Neodiprion lecontei: one gene and its partner. The protein of the gene in region 1 interacts with the protein of each later gene in a biochemical or structural test. Links are inferred from orthologs where the notes say so. Each region holds a gene or a part of one and is shown on either strand. Other genes may lie near its edges.

Evidence for each region.
Region 2: the proteins of elongation factor-like GTPase 1 (region 1) and ribosome maturation protein SBDS interact in a biophysical measurement, tested with the Homo sapiens proteins (2 studies listed by BioGRID and IntAct, with this or other methods). The link is inferred for Neodiprion lecontei from reciprocal best matches to the Homo sapiens genes EFL1 and SBDS.

What each region holds. Positions count from the first base shown.
Region 1 is NC_060263.1:17,903,546-17,908,562, reverse strand, and holds the start of elongation factor-like GTPase 1, read right to left. Parts: upstream 3,081-5,017; 5' UTR 2,419-3,080; coding exon 1-2,418. UniProt on the Homo sapiens protein: GTPase involved in the biogenesis of the 60S ribosomal subunit and translational activation of ribosomes.
Region 2 is NC_060264.1:9,154,899-9,160,124, forward strand, and holds ribosome maturation protein SBDS, read left to right. Parts: upstream 1-2,228; 5' UTR 2,229-2,436; coding exon 2,437-2,567; intron 2,568-3,602; coding exon 3,603-4,230; 3' UTR 4,231-4,705; downstream 4,706-5,226. UniProt on the Homo sapiens protein: Required for the assembly of mature ribosomes and ribosome biogenesis.

The DNA of each region.
Region 1 (5,017 bases):
AAGCATATTTGGCCCACATTTCTTCGGTCCAAAGCACCAAATCTTTCTGAGGTCCAGTTCCTCTTCACCCTCTTGAAATGCGAGTTTCAGCTCAGCCTTGAAAGAATCGACGGCTTTCTGGGTTCGTTCTGGAAGAACCAAGGATTCGGTAGACGTGTTAACATCCTCGACCTCCTTGCCAAGCCTCTCGACATGCCGATCCAGCAGTTTGATGAGATCGACGTATTTCTCCAACGTCTTAGTCACCTCATCCGGAAGTGGCCTCGCGTCAATTTCGAAGCTGCATTGCCTGTTAGCGGTCCAAGACTCGAGACTGCACTCCTGCTCTTTCTTTTCTATCACCTCGTTGGTCATGTCGACCTTGGGCGGAGGGACAACGGTCTCCCTAAGCGGAACTATCGGCTCCGAAACGTTCACCTCGACCTTGGCATAGCGCAGTTTAAGATCCTCGAGACATCTTTCAAGGTGGACTTCGCCCGCTGTGTTTAAAACTATCTCACCGGTCTCCTGAATGTGGACAATAGCGCAGGCATCTGCTTGGTTTAGCAGCTTCAGGCCCTTCATCAGCTTCTGGAGGTCATTCGGGTGCTTCGGCTCCAGTGCCACCCTCAGAATCGGATCCGTCAATGACGTCAGCTCAGCAAAAGAGGGACAAGCTATCGTGGAGGACAGAGTTGCCGTTTTCAGGACATGGTCCTCCAAATTTCCGATTCCCACCACGTTACCGGCTGTCACGCTCTCCAATGGCTCCAATTCTCGTCCCATCAAGAGGTACAGCCGCTCAATCTTTGCCTTGGTCGCATGCCGGCCAGGCTTGAGGTCTTTCAACACCGCGCTCTCGTCGACTTCCTCTCCACTCTTGAGGCGCTCCAGAGCCAATGCAGGGTTGTGTTTCGGCCCAAGGACGAAAACCTCGCTACCTTCACTCAGCGTTCCTGAATAAACTCTGGCAAAAGCAACCAAAGCATCTTCAGATATTTCCTCCACTGGCTTTTGAATGTTGTCCAAGTCCAAAGCCTCTGTCTTTTCCGTTACCGCAGTGATTCCTGACTTTTGCTGCTCCAGTTGAGCGGCGTGTCGCTGTCTGGCGATTTCCCGCCTCTGAGCGAGCTCCTCCTGCGTCAGAGGCTTGGACTTGTTTTCAGGCAGGGTTTTTCTGTCCACTGGAAACATTTTCGATATAAACACTATTACAGGCGCGTTCGGCGAGCTGTCGCAAGCCAGGAAAGCATCCTTCAGCAACTGCGTCTCCTGCGGAAGCGCAGAGAAATCGGTATTCCCACTCATGAGCCGTTCAATCTTTTCGTTAGTGAGATTCTTGGGTGAGGGAACATTAGCGCAGGTGATATCGAGGCAGGCTTCCGCCAGTGGTAGCCACTGCGAACAAATCGCCTGTAGCTGAGCCTTGGAGTCGGTGTGCCTAAGGTCCCGAGTGGTGAGTTTTATTTGGAGCTTATCGACCATGGATGTTATTTTGTCCTTGTCTTTGCGGACGACGACGGTGTCATACAGTGCCCAAATATTCTCTAGGATGAGTTGAACGAAAAGCGGCTTCTTAGCTTTCTCTTGAGCACCCTTCATTATCCGCTTGGTCTTACTGTTTATGTAAAAATCCCCCCACAGTGTCTTGAGCAGTACGTTCTTACTGAATCCCAGCTTCTCAGAAAACATTTTGGCAAACTCCTTTAGACCAAATCCCCAGCGGTCAACGGCACTGGCAAATAAAACATTTCCACGTTCCGGTGAAAAGTACAAATTAGAATCGTCCGCCTCCTCTAATGCTGACTGCCAATCAGCCAGGTCTCTCTCGTTCAGGTTACGGCTCTCACTGCTGGCAGCCTCCTCCTTTTCCTCTCGCTCCATCACATCGCTTGCAAACAGTTCACCCATGACCGCGTTCACCTGCTCCAATACCTGCATCAAGTGAACGTAGGCATCTAGAGGTGTCAATTTCACTTCCGTTATCAACCTGTCTATCTTGTTAAAGACTAGAATGGGCTTCAACCCTTCGATGTAGGCTATCGAAAGGGCACTGCGGGTCTGCGGACAGACGCCCTCGATCACGTCGACCACCACTATCGCCCCGTCGCAGAGCCTCACCGCAGTCGATACTTCAGAGGCGAAATCTACATGACCGGGGGAGTCTATTAAATTAACAATGAACTCACGTCCGTTTTGAGTGTGGTAGAGAGCGATAGAGCTCGACTTCATAGTTATGCCGCGTTGCTGCTCGTCCGTTCTGCTGTCAAGGTATCGCAGTTTGCCGGCAAGCTTACCAGATATTATTCCATTACTTGCTACAAGAGAGTCAGCCAGCGTTGTTTTGCCGTGGTCGACATGTGCCAGGATGCAGATGTTGCGGACATTGTCAGGGTCGCGCTGCAGCATGGAAAGCTTCTCAGAACTGACGAGCCTCATTTTTATACTATAATTTGTGACCCTAGGTTTTGATTAACGTAGGCCAACTAAGGTTAGGTTGGGTCTGGAATTAATTTAATTGGGTAAAGGATTGGGAGATTTAAAATTAGATCAGGCTTAGGTTAGAAAGCTACGGAACACAAGCGGTGAATTACCCGGCTACTGTTCGATCAAAATATCAAAGTAGAGTTCCTGTTGTTATTCGTAGCTACCGTTGTATAGCTAAAATAATAAAAATCGTCACTCGGGGCGCGAGCACGTTGCGAGAAAATCATCGCGAACTGTGAGGTTAGAAGCGGCAACTTTGACGCGAAGATGTTGGCCGATTCACGCTTCGTTCATTCCAAAACACTTTTTCCTCACTCTGACACTTGTTTTCTTGCCGAAATATCGAATATCCGATTTAGGAGCACACGAAAACGGGACTGACACTTGTACGAAGGTTCAAATCTGTCGAGGTTAGGTTCGATCAACCTATATTATTCACCTTTTTTGCATCGAAAATAGACTCGGGCTTGTGAGAGATCGACGGCTCAGATTTCGCGGATATGATAACACCGAAAACCCGGAAAATCACTCGCTGGTTAAACCGAATCGCGACGTAATTTAACTTCACCTCGAATTTCACCGTGCGACGCCGGCCATCATACTCCGTCTGCAGATAAACCTTGAATAACTTGAACACTTGAATGGCAATTTCGAACGCTTGACAACAGCTGACAGTCGCTGAGTCTTGGCGAATCGAGACGTCGGGATTGTCTCGACCGATACTTGACTCTCGCCCGACTTTCGTTTGTCCGAATTTTAGCGGTAACCAACGCCGTTCAAATTGTATCCGAAATGTGGAATCTGACTGATTACACCGATCAACACCAATTTTTTAGTCCAGGTTCTAGATGTCAAATTTTGATTTTTTCCACGTAACTGGAAACTATTATCACAATATAGTTTTACGAGATAAATTTTGTTTTTTATTTCAACGCGCTACTACCTGCTGCATATATTGTCAATCGAAAACATTAAGTTATTTATCAACGTAAAAAAGATAAAAACAAACTTTATAAGTAATAAATAAAGATTTTAGTTATTATTCGATCTATAGAATCAAAATTTATTCATTTGAATATGAATCCAAAACAAAAATTTACATTTTGTTGACCTGTGTTATTTGTTCACGATTTCCAATTAACATTAAATAAGCAGTGTACGAAAAATAACACGCAGTTGTGAAAAAGCTTTGCATTCTTTCTTACATAAGACTTGAAAATACCCCTGGATGAAAACTTTATCTTAGAAACAGTGCAGGCAAAACCGCTTACAGGAATATGTTTTGAAATTCTAGAAAAACGTAAGAGCAAATCGTGGAATTGACTGAACAACTATTACGTCTAAATATTAGACACGTCGGTTCTGTCATTTGTGTCTTTCATAAATCCGGTTAGAATTCTCCTTGTTACGATATTCAAAGCAAAAATATTACAATCCAGAAATATATCAAGTTTTATTCATGTAATCTTTTATATCATATGAGCAAATAGATCTGCTTCAAGAAATAGAAAATTTCAGAGGAGTTGATACAAACTCTTAGATTCATGTAGATAAACTATAATTGTTCTATTAGTGCGAAAAAAATTCTGCGATTCTTTGAAAATCTCTGTGAAATAATTAAAATATTTAAAAATTTGTAACTTAAATTTTTTTTCCATTTGTTTAGCTCGTAAAACAAAAATTACCAAAGCAATCATAATTATCCTAGTTCAACAACAGGTTGTATTCAATATTTCGTCTCCAAAAAAATCACAAAGTTCGTAGAAATGTCAATAAATATGATATGAAAATTATGATAAATTTTATTTCAATGGTTTGTTTCAGAAAAATACCCAAAAACCTATAAAAAATAGTCTTCGCACTAGACGACCCCCTTATATAAGGCAACAAGTTCCTTCTTCGCAACGTTACTACAATTACGTTGCGTCAAGACTTTATTCACTTTATTGATAAAAATTTTAAGAATGTGGAATTAACTGTGCTCTCGGAAAGTTTTTGAGATTATTGCAAATTTTCGAACAGTACCTAAAAATGCAGTAAAATTTTTTATCGTGTTTTGAATAGTATAGTTGTATTATTAATTATTTTATTAAGCAAACGACTTTCAAAGGTAATTAGCTAAGAGTTTCACAATAATTTCCGAAGGAATGTTGAAAGATGAGTGAGTGACATATGTCAATTCCAAATTTCCCGGGGAAAACAACTTTGAGAATTCCTTCAAAAATTCCAGCTTCGATAGAAACTCACGACGAATCTCGGGTATCCTGAGATACATAAGATTACAGATGTTTTCACTAAATTCCAGAATGGATTCGGATCAATGTTTCGTACATTGCAGACGAAATTAAATATTTTTCAACATTCTTTTGGAAGCGTTCAAAGCGGTTTTTCCATGTCGTGAAGAAGTCAACGAAGGATCAGACTTTTTATTATATTTCTGACATAAATTTCAACCCCATGCAGGTAATTCATATCACATCGATCACTCAAATTGTCTCACCAGTTTTCATAAGCATGACGTATGTTCAAAAGTTTTTTAACTATTGAACCA
Region 2 (5,226 bases), on another chromosome or scaffold:
GACACCCTCAACATCCACCCACCAACGACCGTGGCGACCGACTGGAAGCTGTTTCTGGTGCCGCGTTGCTCTTCTTCGGTTTTTCTCGACGGCGCAGCGCAGGCGGCTCTGCTCAGTCAGACCGTGCAAATATATTCGCTCCTCCCGTTTTCTGCACTCTGCCGCTTCGGTCAACCCGCGCCGCTACATTTCGCACGTTTCCGGGTGCCTGTGGCTTTATCAAAAGAATATATCGACGTTCGCGATGGCACCAGAATCAGGTTAAAACTGGAATGGTAACATTTTTTTTTTTTTTTTTCATACCTATTCCGGTGACGGGGGATAAAAAAAAACGCCCCAATCTTGTAAATTCCATCTCTCGGATACAGCGTATCGTTGAGGGTCCTATAGGGTATCAGTTTCTTCGCTTTTTAACGAAGAATCACGTGGGCCAAAATAATTTTTGGTCAAGTTCCAATAGGATGATCAAAAATTTGTTATTAGTCGAGTTGAAAACATAAGCTGTTCTCTTGCGGTGGGAAATTTAAATTCGCGTGGGGTGTTTTTTCGCCCCCCTTTGCCGCTCCAGGGTTAAATTGAAATTCGTAACTTTGATGTAACGATGTATTTTGTGGAAAAACCGTTGAATTTTCCGAACTACCTGAAATTCAGACGAAGTATCGTACGTGATTGATAAACATGTCGGCCGCGAAACTGGCAAAAAATGTATTTTGAAAAATATTGAATTTCCAGTGGATATTCTTCTTCCTAAATACGTATGAATTATGAATGGCGCAGATCTTGACCGAGTCTTTTTCTCTTGTTTACATTCAATGAAAATATACGACGATGCTCGACGTTGACTTAACAATACCCAGCTGATAAATGAATCAAATGGACAAATAGCGTACTAAAATCGGTCATCAGCCACAGTGCGACGAGGCGACACGCGCCTGGACTTGGAACCTATACTTACATATATGCGCATAGAGAAGTTTTAAATGCATGCGAACAGCTGATAGCAATACAGAGAGAGAGGGGGGAGGGAGAGAGAGAGTGAGAAAGAGAGAGTATAGTAGAGAGAGCTAGAGAATGAGAGATAGACGGAGGAAACGGAGTAAACTCTTGAGATATATCGCCATAAAAGGCAAACGTTCGAACTCGTATCTGACAATGCGTAAAGAGATTGATATATCGCGGGTGTTTCGTGTAGATAGAGAACCCTTGAGATATATTTTAACTCGTACGATGATTACAGTGATTGTCAAATGCAAAAGTAAAATCTTCCTGCAAGTATTGGTTTTGTAGTCAAAGGCTTGCACCGAGCACGCTTTGTTTGATTTCGAACAGTGGTAAATGAGAAAAAATTTCATCGCGGTGATTAATGCTAAAGTTGGTACAAAAGGGAGATAAAAAAAAAAACAGATGCGGCCCGCGGCTGCACCGAGCCACGGTTATCTCAACACTGGCGAACACCGGACCGCGTATCTCTCTGTCTACTATTGGCACAAAATGCAAAACTCACCGAACTCTGAGGCGAGCTGGTAACGCTGGGAGAACGCTGCACGGTGACCAAAGCCATCCTATTTTGCCTCCAGAGTCACCGTCGATGCACGCTCTAACTAAACACTCGCGGGCCTAGAGCCGTATCTTCAAATCTTCACGTAAACGTGCATATTTCTAAACGTCAGTCAGCATCACGCTCGCGGTCGCCATGTTCAATACACCTCTTTGCAGAATAATATCACAACTGCGCATGCGTCGGTTGTCGTTTGCGCGCGCAACTCGAATTCACTGCTGATCCGACTGATTTTACGACGCGACAGATTTGCCAACCACGCGGTAGCTGCTCGATGATTTATTGCAATTTATTGCGTATCTCATGGAAATCAGCTTTTTTGATTATCCTAAAATACCAGTAACCGACACATAATTTACTGATGAATATGTTTTCGATATTTTATAGACGGTAGAGAAAACGTTACGAAAGTAAATTTTTCCATAAAATTTGAAAATTTCTGAATTCGCAGGCTTTATGATCAATGTTTATGACTACTAAATTTCCGAGAACAATTTCATTCTATAAAAATCTTATCAGTCTACACATTTACGCATTTACATAATTTTCCGGATTTTTGAAGTTAGTGCTTCGATTTGAATGAGAGATGAAATACGTCAATTTCCCACGCGAGATTCGATGTTTTAAGAATCTAGAGTTGGCACCACTGACGAATCTGCGGCAGTTGAACCTGTAAAAACATTCAAGTCGTTCAAGTAACATTGTGGATGCTGCGATGCGCCCTTGTCAACTAGACCTACGTCCAGTTTATATTTTAATCATTTTACAAGTAATTAAGTGCCTAGAAGTACGAAGATAAGCTGATGAAAATTTTCATCGTGAGATAAAGAATAATTTGTAATTTCGACGGCAGTAAATTGTTACCGGACTTTGCAAAAATGTCGTTAATTTTCACACCAACTAACCAGATCAGGTTAACGAACGTCGCAGTAGTGCGTATGAAAAAAGCAGGAAAGAGGTTCGAGATCGCCTGTTACAGGAACAAGGTTGTATCCTGGAGAACAAATCTGTGAGTTTTACAATTTGTCAACTGTAGCCATATTACGCAATTTTGTTGCACACCGATTGAGTGTTATTGCAAGTTCGCACGACATAACCTAGCTGTAGTATTTCATTTGTTGACTCGGATGAGCCTCGATTCTGACTTCATTAATTGTGGTACTCGTCAATATATATATATATATATATATATTTATACTTTTGAGAGGCAAAATTGTACATTTATCAACCTGTTTACAATTCTACATGCATACATTATCACTGGTCACATCAGAATACTGGTTTATGTTAGTTGTGCATTGATTAAAATATTCTATTTTGGTACGCTTCTTAATCTTTTCATGGTCAGCTCCAGTTCTTCGTTGCTACTACGCAAAGAGAAAAAATTAGAGCTTAAGGCGTGAACGTTGTCACACCTCAATAGTGGGCTTTTCTCTTGGAATATTTTTCTGTGTTGTTTCCGTTCATTGCAAAAAAAACTACACCACGGATAAGCTCACTGCATATGAAATAGTCCCTAGAGTCATTTGGGCTAATATAGCATGTGCTGACATGCACTCTAATCGTGAAATTGGCCACGGAATATTTTCAAGAGAACCTGTGAAATTTTTCCATGAGGTTCCTTGCGATTACCTTTCAGTTGTGGCATGGGAGGTGTGGCTTAAAACACAATCGCAAAGAGCCTCATGAAAAAAATCTGTGGGTTCACTTGCAAATATCCTTTGAACAACTTCATTGTTTCAGCACAAGGCGGCATTGCTATGAGTCGAACTGATTCTTGAGATCTTTGCATATGCGCTGGTGCATTTACGGAAAGAAGTTGTGTCACACATTAAGCCCTTAAGGTTCTAGGCAATGGAGCAAGAGACGCGTGTGGTGTTCGAACGGCAAATAGTCCGCGTGTGAATACCACGAATACTTTGCATCAGGCTCTAGTTTTTTCTCCAGCTTGATTTTGCACTGTATTAAATTGTACAATTCAAATTGAAAACCAATTATATCTTTGATAATATTAATTATATTAAATTGAGAACATTTGTCACAGAGAGAAGGACATAGATGAAGTATTGCAGACACATACCGTGTTTACAAACGTTTCCAAAGGTCAGGTGTCAAAGAGGGAAGATCTCTTGAAAGCGTTTGGTAAGGATGACCAGACAGAAATATGCAAGGAAATCCTTACTAAGGGAGAGCTACAGGTTTCTGACAAGGAAAGACAATCGGCTCTGGATTCTATGTTCAAGGATATAGCAACAACAGTATCCGACAAATGTGTCAACCCAGAAACTAAGCGCCCGTATCCAATATCGATGATTGAAAAAGCTATGAAAGATGTTCATTTTTCTGTAAAACCTAATCGCAACGCCAAACAGCAGGCTTTGGATGTCATTCCGCAATTGAAGGCTGTCATGCCCTTGGAAAGAGCACAAATGCGTTTGAGAGTTCTGATATCAGGTAAAGAAGCTCGCAAACTGAGAGAGAAGATTTCCAAACAAGCAACTAAGATTGAAAATGAAAGTTGGGAGGGAGGCAGTTTGAACTTAGTTTGCCTAATCGACCCAGGTCAATACAGAGAAATAGATGAAATGGTAAGATCAGAAACAAAAGGAACAGGTATACTGGAACTGATTAACCTAAAGGAAATCACTGAGGGAGATGAAATCCTGGAATGAATGGTTGCGAGGTGTAATCTGGAACGTTCCTACAAATATTAACAAACATGTAACGCACTGATTCACTAAAAATGCATCGTAAACAAATAGCTACCGTGATCTTTTGCATTTGAATAAAGAAATAAGATGAGATGAGTCAACATTTACTACTCTGGTTGAAAGGCAGCTACTGATAATTTGTCAAACGGTCCTGTAAATACAAATCACAGCATGATATTCTTACACAGCGATGCAGAATTTGTTTACAAAATAGTTGAAAACATCGTGCGACTTATGACAGAGAAAAGTATTTCGTTTTGTTAAGATATTTGAAATATATATTCGCAAATTTCTGCTCGTTGGTCAATGCTACCATATATTGTTTGTAATACATATTAGTAACTGTTTAACGATTAATAGTGTGAACTACTTACTCCCAGTAACTCGATTATTTATGTAGTATCACCTTGTACTGAATAAAATTACTTTTTTCCAATCTATTGTGCTTGTCAATCGAATAAAATAACCAAACAGACAGTGTCACGAATTCAAAATGAATAACTCAACGAGATTATAATCGGTACATACTATTTACAAGTTTATTTTTCAATACGTTATCTAATTATTACAGCAACGACTGTGCTGATAAATTATCAACATTAATAACAATGATTTATAAAACATCTGTAAATCCTACATATCTTAGTGAAATCATATTTAGCATCAGATACATTAACTGTTACTTGATGGTTACTGTTGAGCTGCGTTTAAAAATTTGAAATAATCTTGGCACGAATGAAATGCATCAAACAATTTATACAATTCTGAATACTCTTAGAACTATCTTCGTGCGTGTATATTAATTCTAGTTCAACATTACTGTGTCATGTTAACAACGACTAATCGGAGATTGATATTTTTCATAGTTCAACAGTCTGGCTACTGAACCTGTTCCCATACCCGACACTTAAATTATCAGTACAATCTCAGAATTTTCATAATATTTTCCTAGTCATA